Mytilus edulis: one gene and its partner. The protein of the gene in region 1 binds, or shares a complex with, the protein of each later gene. Links are inferred from orthologs where the notes say so. Each region holds a gene or a part of one and is shown on either strand. Other genes may lie near its edges.

Region 1 (10,721 bases):
AACTTTCTGCTATATAGATCATGTTATCGCACTAAATAATTGAAAAAATGGTGACTATGTTGAACGCATCTATCTCATCGGACTTGAGGAGGGGGGGGAAGATACCGCTAAGTCTGTTTCATAGGTACCAATGCACAGTTGGGATTTTAGTTTCTCATTTTGGCAATGGTTGATTTTTTTAAAATATGAAAGTGTTGTACAAGAAAATTTATTTTAGATAGCTGAAGAAAAAAGCCTTCAAATTGGGTTTATATGAATATCAAGATGATAGCGAATACGTTCCAAATGTCGTAACAATACGACCACCCCGTCCTCTGTCCTCCGATGTGACCTAACGAATTACACTTATTACCGTTTTTTTAATCTTCTTTTTATCTTAAGGTGTGTGCTCCCTGAACCCGCCCTGACAAAGTCAATGCATCAAAATATTTTAATTACATGTCATAGTGATCCATAGTGCTTTGTAATATGATTCGGTCTAAACAGCCATTATACTGAAATAAATGTTAAAACAATATTCTCCTGACTTTGGACAAGCACAAACACAATGCAGATGAGTTAAACTCGTGACCTGAGACAGTAGTCTCATACACTGATGTTATTTTTTGATCGCACAGAGGGGTATGTCTTGTGGGATGTAGTTGTCTCATTAGGTAATCGTATACAACATCTAAAACAAAAATAGATAAAAAGGTAAATAATTTACAACAACGACAACAACGTCTTGGAAACAATAGACATATATTAAGACATTAGAATTTTATTTCAAATTTATTTCAAAAGTTTCCAAATCGGAGAAACCAAAAAATAGAAAATCTCTTGTCTGGATAATGATCAATGAAGATTTAGTTTTCAATACAGATTTTAATCTATGATACCTAAATAAAAATATCCAGACCAGACAAGAAAAAATAGACAAAAGTTGGGATAAATAACTAGAGTTATTCCTCTTTGTACTGGCTTTCTCCTATCATGTACATATTCTTTTTAATATCATGGTATCCAACAAATTGTCGGCATTCCTATGGGAACAAGCTGTGCGCCTCTTCTTGCCTACCTCTTCTTATTTTCTTATGAATCAGAGTTCCTCCAGACACTTGTCAAAAACAAGAGGATCAAAGAAGCCAGATTATTTAATTTCACTTTCAGATATATTGATGATGTTCTTTCCATAAACAATCCGAACTTTTCTGATTGGGTTCCATTAATATACCCCACAGAACTAGAGATTAAAGAAACAACAGGCACGGCTTCCTCCGCCTCATTTTTAGACTTATATCTCGACTTTGACTTACACAGTCATCTCAGTACCAGAATCTATGACAAACGAGACGATTTTAATTTTGAAATTATAAATTTCCACCACCTTAGTAGCAATATACATGTAACAACTTCACCTGCATATGGGATATATATTTCCCAACTTATTCGATATCCAAGAGCGTGCAGCTCCTACTCAGACTTTGTAAAACGTCATCAGTGTCTGAGTAGAAAGTTGATGAACCACGAACCAGGGGTATGTCAAAGAACGTCTCGTCCTTTTTCTAAAAAAAAGTTCATCGGAAGGTACCAGGACCTTGTTGATAAATATTCCGTATCAACTTCACAAATAATACACGATTGTCTTGATGTATATAGATTCTGCGTACTGATGTTGTTTATCATCTTAACAACGTGTTTTATAGTTCTTTCGTTTGCCTTTGTTCTTTTAACAATATTTCTTTTACTGTTGAATGGTTTTATGTGATATCCGTTTGACCTGGCTCGGTACTTATACATCTCGACAATGTGTTTGTATATTTCTTTGGTTCTTATAACGTGACTCTGTACTTTAACTGAAGATCCCGTCAGTATGATATTATTGTTCTAATTTATGTCATTATGATATATTTCTAAATATGAATAACAAAATACGTTGAACCACAAACGTCAAAATCATTCAATGCGTAGTGGAATTAACTATTTGTGGATTCTTATAAATTCTATATATAAATGTTGGACTATTTTAAATCTCGGGTCTATTTCTGAAATTTATACTTACATACTTTTGATTTTTTAACCCTGTATGCTAACATTGCCTATGTAAATTTTAAAATTGTTTGTATGCACATTGAACGACAAATTTATGTGACGTATAAAATTTTCTGACGTCAGACACACAAATCAATGAATGTATTTGTAGATAGATGTTTTTGTGTTCTATTAAATTGTTCCTTTTAAAATTGTTATACGATGATGACTGATGTACCCATATTTAGAATATTGTATTTATTGTGTCTGTTTAGTTAACGCATCAATGTAAATATAACGGAATTTGATCAAGACTGTCGGCAAAGTGAGAGGGTTCAGCGCTATAAAACCAGGTTTAATCCACCATTTTCTACATTTGAAAATGCCTGTACAAAGTCAGGAATATGACAGTTCTTGTCCATTCGTTTTTGATGCGTTTTGTTATTTTGCCATGTGATTATGGACTTTCCAAATTGATTTTCCTCTAAGTTCAGTATTTTTGTGATTTTACTTTTTTCCATTAGTGTTTAAAATCATATTTAATTATTAACGATTGCATGTGCTGTTTGTTTGGATATTGTATGCACTTTGTGATTTGTGTTGATTTATATGCTCTTTGATTAGGAATCAAGATATTTGAATTTGAACCAATTCAATTCGGTATTTAATTTACGTCTCCCAGACCGTACTGAGTATTTGGACCGTACGCGTACGGTCTGGACCGTATGCGTACTTTTTCAAAATACTCACACGGTCGGACCGTACGCATACGGTCTGGCTAATATTAAGAAGTTGGTCAATATAAAAAAGAAGATGTGGTATGATTGCCAATGAGACAACTGTCCACAAGAGACCAAAATGAAACAGACATTAACAACTATAGGTCACCGTACGGCCTTCAACAATGAGCAAGTCTATTAGATACAAATGCATATAACAGATCAACATAACTTAACTCTCAAATCATAGTAATATAAAATAGTTCAATTGTAATTGAAAAAACCCTTTATATTTTAACTTTTTTTAAAATTTAGGCTAATTTTAAATCTGTTGATCTCTTGTATTTTAATAGCATGTCAATCTATACATTTATTGAATTATGATCACTAAAATTGAAGATATCAGAAGTAAACATAATGTGGGAGGACAATTGTTTTAGACAATTTAGCAACCGTTTACAAAAAAAATGCAAATGCAAAGGAACATGCATGAACTGCAAGCTTGTAAATGTAAAAAATATTACGTATCTTATGTCACCTTAGGCGAGAGTACCAAAATAGGATTTAGATATACAATTAAACAAATATTTAATTTCAAGTGTTCGTTTGTTCATTTTATCCATCTTATTGCAATAAAAACAATTTGTAAAATTAAAAATAAAGATTGTGATAAATATGTTTTTTTTTAACCCATATGTATGGAACGCCGGAACTGCCTTATGTTAAAAACTTTCATTATATGATGGTACTTTGACATTATACGATGGCACGTTGACATTATACGATGGCACTTTGACATTATACGATGGTACTAAGACATTATACGATGGTACTTTGACATTTCATGATGATACTTTGACATTATACGATGGTACTTTGACATTATATGATGGTACTTTGACATTATACGATGGTACTTTGACATTATATGATGGTACTTTGACATTATACGATGGTACTTTGACATTATATGATGGTACTTTGACATTATATGATTGTACTTTGTCATTTTGTCTATACCAATATCGAATACATTGAGCAAAATTATACGATGGTACTTTGACATTTCATGATGGTACTTTGACATTATACGATGGTACTTTGACATTTCATGATGGTACTTTGACATTATACGATGGTACTTTGACATTATACGATGGTACTTTGACATTATATGATGGTACTTTGACATTATACGATGGTACTTTGACATTATACGATGGTACTTTGACATTATATGATGGTACTTTGACATTATACGATGGTACTTTGACATTATACGATGGTACTTTGACATTATATGATGGTACTTTGACATTATACGATGGTACTTTTGACATTATATGATGGTACTTTGACATTATATGATTATACTTTGTCATTTTGTCTATACCAATATCGAATACATTGAGCAAAATAGATAATGGAAACGGTGAATGTGTCAAAGAGACAACAACCCGACCAAAGAACAGTAAATAGCACAAGACCATGCACTAATGGGTCTTAAACACAGCTGGTGTGTTTTTTTAAATACCACGACTGCACCATATACACATGCATACTCTGACTGTACCTTAGAAATACATTGAGATATATTGTCTCAGCTATACCTGGTATTGTTTTAGTTGAAACATGCAGCTTTTAAAGTAAAATTGAATTCAATACTTGAAAGAAAAGAGTTATAGACAATTCCACCTGAATTAGTTTAAAGTATACTTGAGGTCCAAATACGAAAGTTGCATGATGACATTTGAAAATTAAACTACCGTCTATATCATAAAAGTTATATTTGATACTGGACGTATGAAGTTACTTCTAGCAGTCTACCGGGCGATTGCATTCTGTGTTATTTATTTACAGGTCATCCGATCGTATTGTCATCCGAGTTAGCAGTACGTAAGTGCTTTGGTCTAGGATATGTTGCCAGTGGTTATACCATGTCTACGTGGTCTAGGATATGTTGCCAGTGGTTATACCATGTCTACGTGGTCTAGGATATGTTGCCAGTGGTTATACCATGTCTACGTGGTCTAGGATATGTTGCCAGTGGTTATACCATGTCTACGTGGTCTAGGATATGTTGCCAGTGGTTATACCATGTCTACGTGGTCTAGGATATGTTGCCAGTGGTTACCATGACTACGTCAAACAATCAGTACTCCCAGACACAAAACAAAACATTTTTGGAGTAATACATAGGTGGGGGTGCTATTTATTTGGACGATCAATGCATTTGGGGATAAATAGTTGGAAAACCCAGCCCCCAACCTTTTTATCGGTGTTGGGAACCCTCTTTTAAAAATGACTGGGTACGCCCCTGCTATTGCATTTACTGAGATTAACGTTTAATTAATTGGGATTGTTGAGTGTAAGTTCCAGCTACTGCCCTTAAAAATGTTCTAAAGTTATTGTTCGAAGTCAAAAAACTTCGTTAGTATATTTTGTCTTTATTTATACAATATACAGAAACTATGTAGAAAAAAATAACTAAGTCTTTAAATAAAACAATCAAACTTTTGGCAAGTTTTCCACAGGCCACTTAGCTTAAAACCTATTGAGAACACGTTCTTGCAAAAACAGGAATGGACCCAGGAAAAGTTAAAGGAGGAGTAGAGGGGATAAACTAGGATAAAAGTGACACGCCTAAAAATGGGCGTCTTTTGTCTAAAGCTGCAAGTATATGAGTCACTGGCCTCCTTCCTTTCCGTTTTCAAAAAGTATTGGAGGGGCCATAAAATATAGTGTGTCCTGAACCCCACTTTTGATAGTACCCGGCGGACACACCGCCCACTGCCCTAAATCCGCCTCTGTTACTTGCCGAAAATGAAGAAGAAAAAAAACAACGATCGCATAAGGGAATCACCAGTTAACATCAAGTGGGTATCTTTTTTTCTAAAAATAATCATCTGATCACGAATTTGAAGCAGATGACAAATTAATTTATTCTTAATCTAGATTTGCCCTTTACCTTATAGAAATTGAACAAAAATAATTTGATTGATAGCTTTGAAAAACTACCAAAAAAATGTTCGTTTTACGCGAGAAAAAATATCTCTTCAGACAAAAAAACATAACGTGGCCTTTTTTTCAAGTTAACTCCCTAAAACAACAGATTGAGGGGTTAATGCATGGACATAAAGTCACAGGACGAAAAGTCACAGGACAATAAGTCACAAACAATTTGTTGACAATTGTTTGAATCTGAGACTACTATAAATATACAAGTGAATTATCTTGAAATATTTACTTTTTAATTCATATAAAAGTTTAGGATATGTGTTCATGAAAAATACAAAAATGTTTTGTAAAAATAAGCGTTTTCTTACTAAAGAAATTATTCCGAAACTAAAAAATAATTGTGACTTTTTGTCCTGTGACAAGTCACTTTCTGTCCTACATTCTATTGCACTAAGTCAAGTAATTAATTTGAAAATAAATATATATATAATGTAATTTTATTCACAATATATACCCGGTATTTGGTTTTTAGCTTGATTCTGACCAATGCTTATATTCCAAATTTATATGATATGCCGCTATTATTGTTGTTATTACCAATAGGGTAAATCAATTGTATCTGATTTTATGCCCTTTAAATGGGCCCTTTAATTTGGGAAATAAAAATATTCTATTCTATTCTATTGAGGACATGACATCCCGGTCTCAGTGGCCCCCAACTAGCATTCTCCCTCCACACGTATCTGTCTTTTACAATATGTTTTATTCATTTCTACCGTATGCATACCATCAGAGACATATAGGTCTATGATAATGTATTCTATTTCTCTGATGATTAATTGAAAAAAACTTCCGGAGATGTGTCCGTTAATGTTTAAAAATTAGTGAGTCCTTACACGTCAACTATGGCGGAAGTGTCAGAAGACACAAGTTGGTAAATAACAAACTATAATATATTAGATAATTAGTAAATTGGTTCATAAACAATTATATGCCATATCACGAATCATAAAAAAAACATTCATGTTTCCCATTGATAGCACTAACTTGTAAAACCCTACAGGGTCAAGTCATATGCAGTCAGAACTGACTGCTAAAAATACATTGAACAGTAAAAGTGCTACTGTCTAGATAAACATGACGTCCTCTAGCCTATAAAGACTTGTTGTTTTTTTCGACTTTTTAATAATTGTCTCGCAAGATGGGATGGACGCATAAAATAAAAAGAGTATCAATGTGACATAATTGTGTGGAATATCAAATTTCTGCAGTTAGGTAGCAGGTCAATCTATATTTATTTTGAAGAAAAAAGTGTAACTAGTATTAATTCTCGTATTTATATGCAAACTGATGCATATAGTTAGAAAATCTAGTAATTTTAAAAGATCTGACACATACAAAATGTGCTAGGTAGCTGCAGTCCAAACAATAATTAAGGGAACATTTATAAGGTTTCATATATGGGGTCAAAAAACCCTGTTTTGATGCGTTAAACTTTCATTTAATGCGTACATTCTTATTTTAACGTGATAAGTGATTAAGGACGATAATATTAAAAATGTGCTGAAAATCTGTAAACTTTATCGCGTTAATTGACAAAGTAATGACACATGTAGCCAAATAAAGGCTAAGCATACGCACTAGAAAACAATGTGATCCTGAATTGGTTAAAAGCTTGAAATTTATACCACTTTTATTTTACTTGTTTAACTTTGAAAGTAGTGTGAAAAATCAATTATCGATCCCAATTAAACATGAAAAAAGGCTTCAAAGTATTTTAATATCTTGCATTTTAAAATGCAATTTATCTGTGCTTTAAAGACCTTTTTTCTTGTTACATGTATGATCATAACTAACAAAGTGTTTGACTGCTTTTTAGGATAATAGATTTAGAGACAGCTTTGGTAGATGAGTGTGACTACGGAACATTGAGAAATATTTGTAAAAATAGACCAGTGCCAGCACACCTCCGTGCAGAAGTTTGGCAGGTAAATTTTAACGCAAGATTGTCTCTTTGTCATCTTTTAGGGTTGATCAATATAAACATACATCAGACTCAGGGGAGGCAACTTTAACATAAGAGGGTGTAAAATATTATGCTTAAATGTTTGTAAGGATTTTCTTATCCCAGGCATAGATTACCTTAGCCATATTTGGCACAACTTTTTGGAATTTTGAATCCTCTATGCTCTTCAACTTTGTACTTGTTTGGGTTTATAAATATTTTTGATTTGAGCGTCACTGATGACGTCTGGCATACTAAATTATAATCCTGGTACCTTTGATAACTATTGTAAATTGCTTATATCATATGGGTACATATAGATACCCAATTTTGAAAGTGCCTCAAAAAAGACACAATGTTTGTTTTAACACAACAGCTTTAAAAAAGAGACTTCCTGAATTTAATAATGCATTATGCATGATTTTTTTTTACATTTCTTTGTCAGTAAAAAGAAAATATTTTAGCTGTGATATTTGCGGTATACACAAAAATATTTGTTTTTGAGTTACATGTAATTGGAGTATTAACTGATATATCAAATGGACGGAATAGTTTTTTTCTTGGAAAACAAACAATGATTTAAATAGGATATATTTTCTGGTGCGGTAATTTTAATACTTTTGGCAAAGAATGAATGTAAGTTTTGTATCAAGTTAGTAAACTTTTTCATTTATTTTATAGATATGTTTAGGTGTACATGGTAAAGGAGATTCTCTAGCAACATTTGATGGATTGTTTGATTTGAAAGAACAGGAACAGATACGACAGGATTGTAAATCACTTATAGGTATGGATATATATTATGGAAAGATGTTAAGGGGACAAAACTCTTCACTGCAACAGGGAAAAAATTGGTCAAAATAAACTGAAACATTATAAGAAAATAGTGATGGACAGGTACAAATGTCTTATATATTTTTACATGATGACCATAATCAGAGCTTCTGGAAGTTTGTCATCAGGCTTCATTTGAACAAGGGGGCCCTCAGTGTCCAAGTGGTCTAAGTAGTTCTACTACTGTAATCACTAGCCAGTCAACACTGAGGTTGTGAGTTCGAACCCTGCTCACATAGGTACACTCGACTCCAATCTTATTGACCAATAGTGTCAGTTTTCTTATAAAAGGTCATGATTTTCTCCAGGCACTTCGTCTTCCTCCACCAATAAAAACTGACATCCACAAAATAGCCCAAAAATGGCTTTTGAAAGTGGAGTTAAAACAACAACAATCAATCAATCATTTGAACAAGCACACTGTGATGTATTTTCACATTTAAAGCTTGTCAACTTCCTACTAAAATTGGAGAAAGTTACAAGGGAGTTTTATTATAAAAGTATCAGTGAAGGTATGCTTTGTTTATTTTCAGATAAATTTGGAAATGAAGATGAAGAAGATAAACTTACTCTAGTGAGTGACCTTGAAACCATTATAACCTTTTACAGCAAGTCCCGTAATGAAACTTACAAATCAGAATGTGATTGGCTAGGAGTAATTCAGCCTTTACTAGCATTGAAATTAAGCAGAGCAGAAATTTACAATTGTTTTTATGCCATTTTGAACAAATTTATTTCAAGGTGAGTAGATTTGTAAATATATCTAATCTATCTTATGAAATGCAAATACATGTAGTATAATCAGATTTTATTGTTTAATTTTTTTTAGTCATTTATGGTCTAACCAGTCTCAAACTTTCAAACCAAAACAAACGAGATGATAAATAAGGTTTTTTTATCTCACAAATTCAGGTATAACCCGATAAGTTTATAATTATAGTTTCTCTAATTCTTACATGATTTATCCCTTTCCTGACATGTTGATTATTTTTATTTAATCAACTTGTGGATTGTTTGATCTCAGTTCTTCATTGGTCAAAATTTGATTATGACGTCGAATTTTCTTGCTTTCCTCTGAATTTCCTCTGACAGCATGAAAAAAGGCGACCATGCCTGATGACGTCACATAGAAAGAACACATCTTTTTGCAGATCATTTGAAAAGAAGTATTGAATTTGTCTGCATATGGTTTAAAAATCATAAGAGAAACAGATTCAACCACCAAATCTTGTGTAATACAATATTTATCCATTCTCGACAGTTAAATTTAAAATATTTAAAAAGCTTGGCAAGCCTTGCGTTTTAAATGTCTCGAGTGGATAAATATCGTATCACACTCGATGTAGTGGTAGAATCTTTATTTACAGGTCCAGTGAGTTCAAAACATGTATCATTTCTTATTCTGGAAATTTGGTGAGTGGGAGTTGGGATATGGACTTCAGAGTTGAATGAATTTCAAGGATTGATGAATGTAAGGAAATAGAAATTTTAACCCATCAAACATTTTGTTGATTGATAAGCCCTTACCTTATGGATTGATTTTATGAAAAAAGAAGATGTGGTTTGATTGCTAATAAGACAACTCTCCATGATAGAGCAAACAACATAGAAATAAACCACTATAGGTCGTAGTTTGGCATTCAACATTGAACAAAACACACATGTGTTTTATTAGTCCGAGATTACTTTGACGTCCAACGGGTTCCACGGCCCCAGCTTCGGCTTGTCTGGCAAAACAGCTGTTGGACGTCAGAGTAATCTCGGACTAGCGTTTTATGTGATTTATGAATTTTTATGTGACCATCTTCTAAAATGTATTTAAAAAAAAGAAGTAAATGCTTGATTTAAAGTGGTTATTATACAGTTTAAATTTTCTAATGTATCATTTATTTTTATTTCAGAGATTGCGAAAAGAATGGAAAACCATTCCATTTATTTAGGTTACTGCTACAGTACCATGACCCAGAACTGTCTTCATTTCTGGACACAAAAAGAATTACTCCTGATACTTATGCTCTACCCTGGGTAAGAAATTGTGAATGTGTCCAAACAATCAATTAACAAATAATATTATTCCACTGTTTGGTAAATTTGACGTTACACTCTGTTTAAGAAACATTTCAATACTTAGTGATACTATTATTATTGTCGATATTGGTTTGAACTTATTTCCTATGTAAAATCAAAACAGAAAA
Region 2 (10,627 bases), on another chromosome or scaffold:
CGGACAAATAGCAATAAGGTATATAGCACTGTGCACAGACCATCAAACTTTAGCGTAGACCGTCGCACTTTAGTTTGACCATTATGCTTAGGAATAGGTCATTTCTGGAATCATGTCTTTCACCGAAAAAGATTGCCATTTTCGCATGCCTTTATGACGTCATTTACCAGATAGAAGGCGCGCCTGTATCCCTGCTTTGTTAAAAGTTTCCAGCACTTTCATAATCGTCATTCTGTAGGGTACTATAGTATAGAAATAATTAATGTTCCGTAAGTAAATAATTGTAATTGCTATATGAATGAGGGAGGGTGACCATACTTTTAGATTAAAATTTCCCAAATATTTTGTGCAGCATAAAATTTTTAAAAATCACCCGTTTGCTCAAAATGTGTTAGAAATTTCTATGTAGGCATTTGTGTCACATGGCGACAGAAGTCACATGTCAGACAGATTCGTCTGAAAACCGTATCACGAAAGGTAAACGGACAGAAAGTCACAGGACAAAAAGTCACAGGATATAAAGTCACAAATTTGGTAGGACAAAAAGTCACAGGACAAAAAGTCACAAATAATATGTTGACAAATGTTTGAATATTATTGAACAATACAAGACTAAACATAGGAAAGTTTATGCTGCATTTATTGATTTAAAAAAAACCTTTGATAAGGTATGGAGAATTGGATTATTCCATATACTATTAACACATGGTATTCCAAAGAAAATCTTTAACATAGTTTTTTTCAATGTATACCAAAACAAAGAATAGAATAAAATTTAATGATGGTTTAAGTACATCTTTCATATCTGAAAGAGGTGTCAAACAAGGCAATGTTCTAAGCCCTTTGCTATTTAATATTTTTATTAATAATATTGTTGAAAATTTTAAAAACAATAGCACAGACCCTGTGCTAATTGGTGATAATAAGATTCATTGTTTGTTATATGCCGATGACTTGGTACTATTGTCAAGTAGTCCAGAAGGACTACAATGTAGTCTTGACACTCTAGCTCAGTTCTGTACAGATTGGAAGCTGGAAGTAAATTCTACAAAATCAAAAGTCCTAATATTCAATTCTAACGGCAAATTATTTCAAAACTTTTTTACTATCAACAAATATTATATTGAGACAGTTGATAAATATTGTTACCTTGGGATAACTTTAAAATGCAATGGTAAATTTAATCTTGCCTCCAATTTATTGATGGAAAAGGCTAGAAAAGCTCTATTCAAAATAAAGAAATCTCTTAGTCATAACAATTCATGTAGACTTTTAGAAAAACTTTTTGATACAATGGTACTTCCAATTTTATTATATGGAAGTGAAGTTTGGGGTATTGAATCAATTCAAAAAAATACTGAGAATGAACCATATGAAAAGTTTCATATAAAATTTCTGAAAGAAATTCTTGGGGTTCACTGTAAAACTTCCAACCATGCATGTCGCAGTGAGCTTGGTAGACTCCCCTTAAAAGCTAAAATTTTGACATATTTATTCAAACAAGAGAAAACAACCTATGGACAAGTAATATGAAGAAATGTATCCATAATCTGGGTTTCTCGTATTTAACATCTTTTAATGTACCTATTACACCTATACTCTTGCTCAAATAAAACAACGAATTCATAACCAAATTTTACAAGAACAGAATTCATAACCAAATTTTATAAGAACAGAATTCATATATTACAGAATCATCAAAATTATCAAATTTTCAACATTTTTGTTTTTCAAATAAACGTGCACACTATGTTGACCAATTGAATATGTTGAAAGATAGGGCACCTTTGGCAAAACTAAGGCTAAGTGCACACAATCTTGAAATTTAAAGAGGTAGATACATGCAAGTTTACAGAGAAGAAAGGTTGTGCAAATTATGTCATAAAAAAATATAGAAAATGAAAAACATTTTATCTAGCACTGCACAAAATATGAATCACAAATAAATGATCTTATATCAAAATTGTACAATTTTAAAAATTATGACAAACAATCCAAAACTGAGGATGAATATATCAAACTACTACTTAATAGCAAGTGTAGAATCAAAGCGCTGTAAGCGCTGAAGGCAGTTAACCAAAAACCAAGGCAACCGTAATTATGAAAACTGTGGCAATGTTGCCTCAACATTAAACATTCATATATAGTACATTCATGTTTATCTAATGATTTATTTATTAAGGCAAATAATTTATGTTATCAAGGTTTCAAAAGCAATGCATATACGGTATCAATGTATATTTTTTATGGTGAATCTGCAGTGGTACAAGTTCCCAATGATTGCAGTTGTTCTACTTGGTAGTTAACCTTGGTTTTATTTGACTGCTAGAAGTTGAATTTGACTTAGTATGAACATGTAATAGTATGAATGGACTGGTTTCCCTGGAAAGAAAACAAATGTTCACTACAACAGGGATCAAAGGTGAGGTCTGACTGACCTGCCCATAGTAAATGTAAATGATTTGTTATTTTGTCCCATACATATGAATATATATAATTTAGGGGTGGGGATCTCAACAGTTTACAAGTTCTCAAACAGGTAGGGGTAGGGGGCCCGGCCCCCCTTTTTTGGAAAAAATTTGGTTGCTTATATAGGGAATCACTGAAGCGTGACTGGAGCGGGCCCCTCTTAGGTCAGTTAGTGGGCCCCACTTATAAAAATGTCTGGATCCGCCACTGGGGGTATGGTGACCCTAGGGACTTCCCCTACATTTCATTTTATTTGTTATATTGTCCCATACATGAATATATATGGTTTAGGGGTGGGGATCTCATTGGTTTCCAAGTTCTCAAACAGAAGGGGTAGGGTGACCCAAGGGACTCCCCCTATATTTCATTTAATTAGTTATATTGATCCATACATGAATATATATTGTTTTGGTGTGGGGATCTCGACCGTTTCCAAGTTCTCAAACAGGAGGGTTGGGATGACCACAGGGACTTCCCCTATATTTCATTTGATTTGTTATATTGTCCCATACATGAGTATATATGGTTTAGGGGTAAGGATCTTGACCATTTCCAAGTTCTCAAACAGGAGGGTGAACAGTGACCTCAGTGACTCCCCCTATCTTTCATCTGATTTGTTATATTATCCCATACATGAATATATATGGTTTAGGGATGGGGATCTCGACCATTTTTAAATTCTAAAACAGGATGGGTGGGGTGACCCCTAGCAACTCTTCCTATATTTCATTTGATTTTTCATATTGTCACAAACATGAATATATATATGGTTAAGGGGTGTGGATCTCGACCGTTTCCAAGTCCTCAAACAGGAGGGGGTGGGGTAACTCCAGGGACTCCCCCTATATTTCATTTTTTCTTTATTATATTGTCCTATACTTGAATATATGCAGGGGCGGACTCAAATTTCCAAAGCATGGGTTGTTCTCAGCTTAATAAAGAATATTCCGAGAATTTTACCTCAATTTTTTTTTAGCCTCGCTCTGCTCAGCGAAAATTTAAGTTTGCACCCCTCCTAACCTAAAATCCTGGATCTGCCCCCTCATATGGTTTAGGGGTGGGGAGCTCGACCGTTTCCAAGTTATCAAACAGGAGGGGGTAGAGTGGCCCAAAGAATGCCACCTATATATCATATGATTTACTTACATTAAGGTATATATAATATAGTTGCATTATTAGTGAAAAAAAAAAGAATGAAACTTTCAGCTACTTTAGTTGACCCTTCAAAATTGAGAAAAAACAAATAACTCCTCGAAATTGCAGTAATCTTTACACTTTAAAAGCATCTCACATGCATTATCATCATTTATCATTTATAAAGAAAATTTAGACTGTGACCATGAACATGTATATTGTTAGATATACTGTTCCCAGCTGTCACGTTGTATTGGATTTTTAAATTAAAATTTGTCAAAAAGTAATTTTGAGTTTCTGAATAAAATATTTTTCTGCTTTTTCTTTCTTTTACATATTTCTTTTGGTTTACAATACTAGTGTTTATATTCATTTACCATGCATAGATGTATTTTTCACCTGCTTGGATTTATTTTGTAAATGATCGCCTAACCCGGAATTACCCTTATCCGCTTCCGGAATCGGATCCGATTTTGTAAAATTTTGTCTTCACGGCCGCCATTGTGATGTGTTTGCAATGTTGTTTTTGTCAATCAGATACGATTTTACTCGAATTTATACAATATTTGTCGGCGATTTTCTGTATAAAGCTAGCGGTTGAACAAAATGAACATCGCCGTCATGAATGATCATGAATAATAATGATAAAAATAAGTTTTTAGCTCGTTTAATTGGAGACTTTGGTGAAAATGGTGAAAAGGTTTGCAAAGTAATTTCTTATTTTCTTTCAAGGTGACTACGTCGGGCGTAGCTAGAAACCAACTATCCTAGTCGAAATTCCGCTTGCAAAAGTGGAAGGTCGCGGACCTCGGACCACCGCTAATTTGCACACCTGCCTCCAAATTGAAAAGCTACGAAAATTTCTTTTTCTAATTTGAAATTGCCGCCAACAGCATGAACAGTTGAAATTATTATATAATAGACTACTGACGTAGTTGTACTACGTATTTGATGACAAACAGTATTCCTACGACTTTTGTCATTTGGGAAATCTAAACTACTTGTCTTAAGAGATATTCGGCGATTAAATATTTCATACAATTGTTCTTTGACATCTTAGCTAAAAGCACAAGTCATAATGAACTACACAAGGATTCTTAATAAGCACTACTTCCTATGTGTAACTTTAAAACTTTTGGATAAATCGACGATCATTTAAGGTTTTTCTGGTCATTATTTTTGTAATCCAGAATAAAAAGTATTAAAAAAGTGTTCAATTAGTTATATATAACATAGTAGCAAGCTAGATAATAACAATGGCAAGTATTTCAGGATTTATTGGGTAGAACACAAATCTAGGGTGCTCGCATAATGCAGCTTAACTGCATAAAAACACTTAGATTAATATCATCTTTTATTAATCAATCATTTGAATTAAGGAAAAATGTCCTTATAAATGAGTAATATGAACAATTTGAAGCTATAACATACAATATACTTATGTCAGTAGTCTATTCTTATAAATTATAAAATTGAGAATGGAAATGGGGAATGTGCCAAAGAGACAACAACCCGACCATAGAAAAAAACAACAGCAGAAGGTCACCAACAGGTCTTCAATGTAGCGAGAAATAACCTATATATATTGATATATTTATAACTGCACATTTCATTGTCTGAAATATGCCTATCGATATTCTATGTAGTATTGTTTAAATGCTGCATCATTACTATTTGTATACTAGTTGTATGGGCCATTGCCAATTATTGTAATTGAGTTTGTGCCAATAAAATATTTGTATTTGTATATAAGAGAAATATCTTGAAATATTTACTTTCTAAAACGGTGCAGTCCGGTGTAACCACACACCTAAGACTTATGACTTCACCATGTAACGTCCATGTTCACTCCATTCAACTGATAAAAACAAATAATTGGATAATATTGTGTGAACACATTCATAACATACTTTAATTTCATAAAATCTTCTGTTTGTATGGTTTCACCTTCCAGATTTTGTGGAATGTGTGTCCAAAATTAGGGAAACCCCTGTTCTGAGAGTTCCTCGAATGTCCGGCGATTTCTCGCATGCCTTCCAAAAATAGCTTATTTTGAACAAAGGAAAGATTTTGGAGGGCTAAAACAATAACAAGAACAATTTTATTTGTGTTACTTTGTTGATATGATGAAATCAGCTAATGCACGGTATCACCGGCCGTGCAGACACCAGGGACTCCACTGGATATATATTCATATTAATGACAATGATTAGGAAATGTGTCATTATACTTAAAAAAATGAAGATTTATTTAATTTTAATCATGTAAAAGAAAGATTTCTTGGCACCATGAAGCCATTTAAGTGCCAAGCCACTCTGTCTCTGACATTTTTTTTTTTTAACAATTATTAGATTTACTTGGATATTTTTTTTATTACAAAGTTAGATTTTTTACAATAGTTAAAGACAAATACAAAAATATTTTTGTAGAAATAAGCATTTTTTATTCAAAGAAAATATTCAGAAAAAAATGAATTGTGACTTTTTGTCCTGTGACTTTTCATCTCGAAACTGACCTATCCAAAATCGCACTTTTAATAGAGTGCTACATATAGAAATAGAGTGGACTCATCTGTGGCCAAAACAGTCCAAACGACTGTGACCGAACGGATTAAGAGGCCAAATCGCCGCTTCCGATGTCAGCTCTAGCCGAAACGACCGAGTCTGTGGCAAGTGTGGACGAAGAAGTTTTTGAGGCCGAAGCGTCTCAAAAGCTTTAAAAAAAATATATACAGATACTATTTAAATATGAATTAAGATATATGACTGTTTTCACAATTTAAAAGAGCTGACATTTGTGTAATATCAACCTTTCTAATCCATGTTCTCAATATTCTGTCAAAACGTCAGCCATTTGTAAACAAATCGCTAATGAAAGACCATTCTGCAAAATCAATTTTGATTAGCTCTAAGGATTTAGATTGACCAATTAAAAAGACGGTAACAATAAAGTATCTCTTCCGTCAATTTAACAACATGGCAGAAAAATGGGGGTGTCTTTCAACAGTCATTTAATTATTTAATTTTGTACATGATGACTTGATTTTTAAACGATCAAGATGAATGCTGACATTGAAAATAATATTCGCCAAAATCATCCATGGACCAAATTGCCACCAAATCTTAAGCAGGTGTGATAAAATACCATATGATATTTTTGTAAATTTATCTTCTAAATATATGGAGTCCCAAAAACCCTCCTGTCACAAACAGGGATTTTATCAGTATGTACTGAGTTACCAAATATGGTCCCACACTTGACCTTCCAACTGGTGCTTTTTTCGTGGAACCATTTTGTTCATAAAGCAAATAATATCTTAACCTGTTCAGTCAGAATGTTCCATGACAATACACCTTATCGCTTTTTGTCCGCCACTACCGGACATCACACAGGTTCCCATGAAATTAGACGGCATAATACAAAATATCTGACGCCACAATGGAAAAGGGATTGTTGTTTGACATCAATAGTTCAAGTGGGATAGATTCTCTGGTCAGCCAGGAATAGCAATTAGGTGTATACTCCTTATTGCGATTTGAAAATCTGTGCCGTTTTAACTATTGACATCATACAACAATTACTCTTCCATTTGCAGTTGTCTGCCTGCCCCACTGAAACTTGTTATTTTGATGTGATATATCAATATTGTCGCTTGTTAAAGTCGTTTTTTTTTTAGTTTGTTCAATACCATTGTTGAAGTTGGCATGGGTGCTTATCTGTTGTAAATATGAGGCTGGTATTAACAGTGAAAGGGGACCAAGTCTGAATGAATTCTTTTTTTGTAACTCCAAAATCTGTTAAAAAGGAAACGGAAATACTGTAACGTTTCTGATTTTGGTTCTGTTGTTAGGGATTTTACTTATGACGTCATGTTCAATGTAAATAAAGAAACGCGATCATCAGGTAACGTTTATTCATATCAAAGACAAAGAATTATAAAAATGAAATTGGTATTGTATTCCTTGAGTTCCTATATTTTACTAGACTACTCAAAGTCTCATGACAATGAGACCGGAAAAGGAAGTCGATTTCTGCGTTCTGCGCAAATGCAGGAATTAAAAAAAGCTACAAAAAAAGTTAAAGATTTTGAATTCATTAGTACAATGAAAATTTCGGGCCGAATTTTTTTATTGATTTTTCTACTGAAAATTATGACTGAACAGGTTGGTATATCTTAGCGTAAATTGCAACAGTATTAACCGCTACATATGTTAATCTACATTAAACTATCTACAATATGCATGGTGTATAAAATGCATATTTGTTTGAATCATTTGTAGCAGTCCTTCTAAGTACATTAATTGTAGGTCAAGAATGATATTGATGGAATTAAGAAAATTTTAGTTAACAAAAAGAAACTTGATTCTCATTATACATACCTCAAATAACACATAGTAGATTTTTTATCACAGTATCTTTTACAAATTTTCTATCTGAATGACAGGTTCTATAAAAAAAATCTAACAGTAACAGGTTTTTGTGAAGTACTTTTTATAATTTATCATTCACTGCAAGATTAGGGATGCTCAAGGTTACAAAAATTTCAGCAAAAATTAAAAAAAAATTGTGTTCAATACAAATCTTATTTATTCCACTATAAGTTGTTACTTTATGATTTGGTACAAAAATCAACCAAAAATAACAATTTTTTTTAAATACTGTTAAATATTTTCAGGTGTTGGGAAATTCTCAGAGAGAGTATGACAAAGCCATTGTTTCCTTTAGTATAAAGAATCAGTTAAGATGGAAAGCAAATATTGGTATGTATTCAAAATAAAACCAACAACCCTATGTTATAACTAATCACTATCAGGATAATCACCATTGCAAAACACTATCAAATGAGATCTTAAACAGTTATAATTAAAATACATAAAGAATGTATGAAATCACAAAAGTTAATTGACTAGGATTATAAAGGTTTATGGTTCTCTCCTGGCCAGACTTCCACCTCAAATTAAGATGAATCAGTCATCAATAGTGCTGAAAATAGCATGAGACACCAATTAATCAATCTTGTTTATGTTATACTTTCAGCATAGAAATATGTTAAACTTGCAGCATAGAAATATGTTAGAATTCTCCATACTTACACTGTTAAGAAATGTTTTTAAATATTCATTTGTTTATTCTGAAATAGATTTATATGAATAAAGAAATAGTAAATAAACCAGAATATTAAAACTGTAATGTCATCTTAATTTTGAAATTTATTTGATACGTTTTATGAAGAAACATTTTATGAAGAAAATGTTCATATGCATCTTAAATTCATCTGTTTATACTTTTACCTACCTGTGTGCAGTCCTGTACACACAGAAATTACAAATCTATAGAGATAGTTAAAAACTTGGGGTACAATTAAAAATAATCAATCATTTTACACTATATTGCAAGCAAAAAAATACTGAGTATTAAGCACTTGCTATAAACATATAAAAGCATTGTCAGTTGTTAAAGTATTTATTATTTAAAACTGTTATATAACAATTATTTTTGTAGTAAAGACAATACGTAAAGATGAGAAGAGATATTACATGGATATGTTACAGTATAGCCAGGATCATCTGATGTTATACCCGTATCATCTGTCTGACATAGTCGTCAAAGGACTTAGAGTTACACCATTTGTATACTATATTAATATGATGTCTGATATCATGTCACAAGAGAAAAGTTATGACTCCTTACCAAACTTTACTGCAGCTGATTGTAAGTTTCATCAGTTTGTCTTTTATAAAAATTTGATCATTTATTCAATTTACTCCAATTTTCAGCTTTTATATTCGGAATATGCAAAAAGATTAAAGCCTAAGAAGTTATCTTAAAATTCATAAAAACTAAAAATCAATATTGATATGTATGAAATTTGACAAGGAATTAAAGCTCCTCTTTTGAGTCAATACAATGTGAGACTGTTCAAAAATCCCTTCAGGCATTTATTTTGTACATTGAATGTAAGGGAATGTGTGGGCTTTACTGTTTAAATAAAGTCTCTTTAAAATTTAACAACTTTGAGACTAACAGAGAAAAGCTCTGTTTCTATTTTGACAATTTCCATTTTTGTCATTCCAGAGTTATTGGACTTTTTACATTTAAAAATTGGACATTTTCCAACATAATTTTGTTGTGATCCTTTTTCCTGAACATTTATTGTTGCACTAGTATTTTCAGGATTTTCTTTTTTGTCTTTCAAGAGATATGGGACTTTTAGGCCAATTAAAATTAATTGATAGATTTTCATCCCCGCCCGCACCTCTGAAATCTTCCCGCCCCGATTTTTTTTACTTTTGAAAAAAATACGATTTCCGGATTTTGTTCATTTCCGTTACCGGTAACCGTCGATAATTTCGTTTCATGTAAAACTTCCTGTTTCAAATTTTGGTTTTCTTATTTCTTAGAGTATTCTTACTGAATGATTAAGTTGATATATTCTGCTGATCTATGATGAAAACATCATTTACCGAGAATAGAGATTGATTACGAGAAGGGCGTGAAATATTCGGGTTACGAGTAATACGCTGTGTCCAAGAACGCAAATCGCCGTAGCGTATGTCCCAAATGACACAAATGTATGTGAGTAAAACACCTTGGATTTATTTTATTTATGCAATGACTTTGTGTCAAGAAATTTGGACTGTGAATGAAACCCAAAAGTGTTAAAATCGTGGAACACATTAGACTGGAATAAAGAAATTGACACAAGCATGAACTTTTTAGATTGGTGACCGTATATTGAATTAAAAAAAATCAACAAACATACGCATTTTTAATTTATTAATTCATAGCAAGCTCTTAGATTCAGATTTAGCTTTTATTTCGTTTTTTGTAAAAATAGAGAAAATATCCTCTGTCCCAATACCCACGATAGAGTCATTAAACAACGTTATGTTCTACATTGTAATTAAGTTTGCATCTTGCACATTAAGGACCAACCCTATTAATTAAACACTGTTTGAGTTCATTTTATTCTGTACTTATCGTACTTGTGTTGCATACCAATGCATTTGCTTCATTTTATTAG

What was found.
Region 2: the proteins of TBC1 domain family member 23-like (region 1) and protein FAM91A1-like are in contact, whole or in part, in a crystal structure (PDB 8JJ9), measured with the Homo sapiens proteins. The link is inferred for Mytilus edulis from reciprocal best matches to the Homo sapiens genes TBC1D23 and FAM91A1. Residues at the interface, in NP_001186127.1 of Homo sapiens: Arg533, His534, Val535, Ser536, Ser537, Asp539, Val541, Gly542, Lys543, Pro544, Tyr545, Arg546, Val548, Pro550, Val551, Phe552; in NP_659400.3 of Homo sapiens: Arg49, Glu60, Arg61, Tyr64, Asp84, Ile85, Lys88, Gly89, Leu90, Arg91, Ile92, Thr93, Phe95, Ser96, Ile159, Pro161, Tyr176, Ile177, Thr178, Glu179, Asp181, Ile182, Lys190, Asp194, Ile197, Asp198, Tyr216, Asn217, Lys218, Gly219.

Annotation. Positions count from the first base shown.
Region 1 is NC_092348.1:58,052,854-58,063,574, reverse strand, and holds the start of TBC1 domain family member 23-like, read left to right. Parts: upstream 1-6,507; 5' UTR 6,508-6,592; coding exon 6,593-6,621; intron 6,622-7,566; coding exon 7,567-7,675; intron 7,676-8,373; coding exon 8,374-8,479; intron 8,480-9,059; coding exon 9,060-9,267; intron 9,268-10,427; coding exon 10,428-10,551; intron 10,552-10,721. UniProt on the Homo sapiens protein: Putative Rab GTPase-activating protein which plays a role in vesicular trafficking. Involved in endosome-to-Golgi trafficking.
Region 2 is NC_092344.1:95,393,492-95,404,118, reverse strand, and holds the start of protein FAM91A1-like, read left to right. Parts: upstream 1-6,549; 5' UTR 6,550-6,661; coding exon 6,662-6,733; intron 6,734-8,278; coding exon 8,279-8,363; intron 8,364-9,105; coding exon 9,106-9,315; intron 9,316-10,627. UniProt on the Homo sapiens protein: As component of the WDR11 complex acts together with TBC1D23 to facilitate the golgin-mediated capture of vesicles generated using AP-1.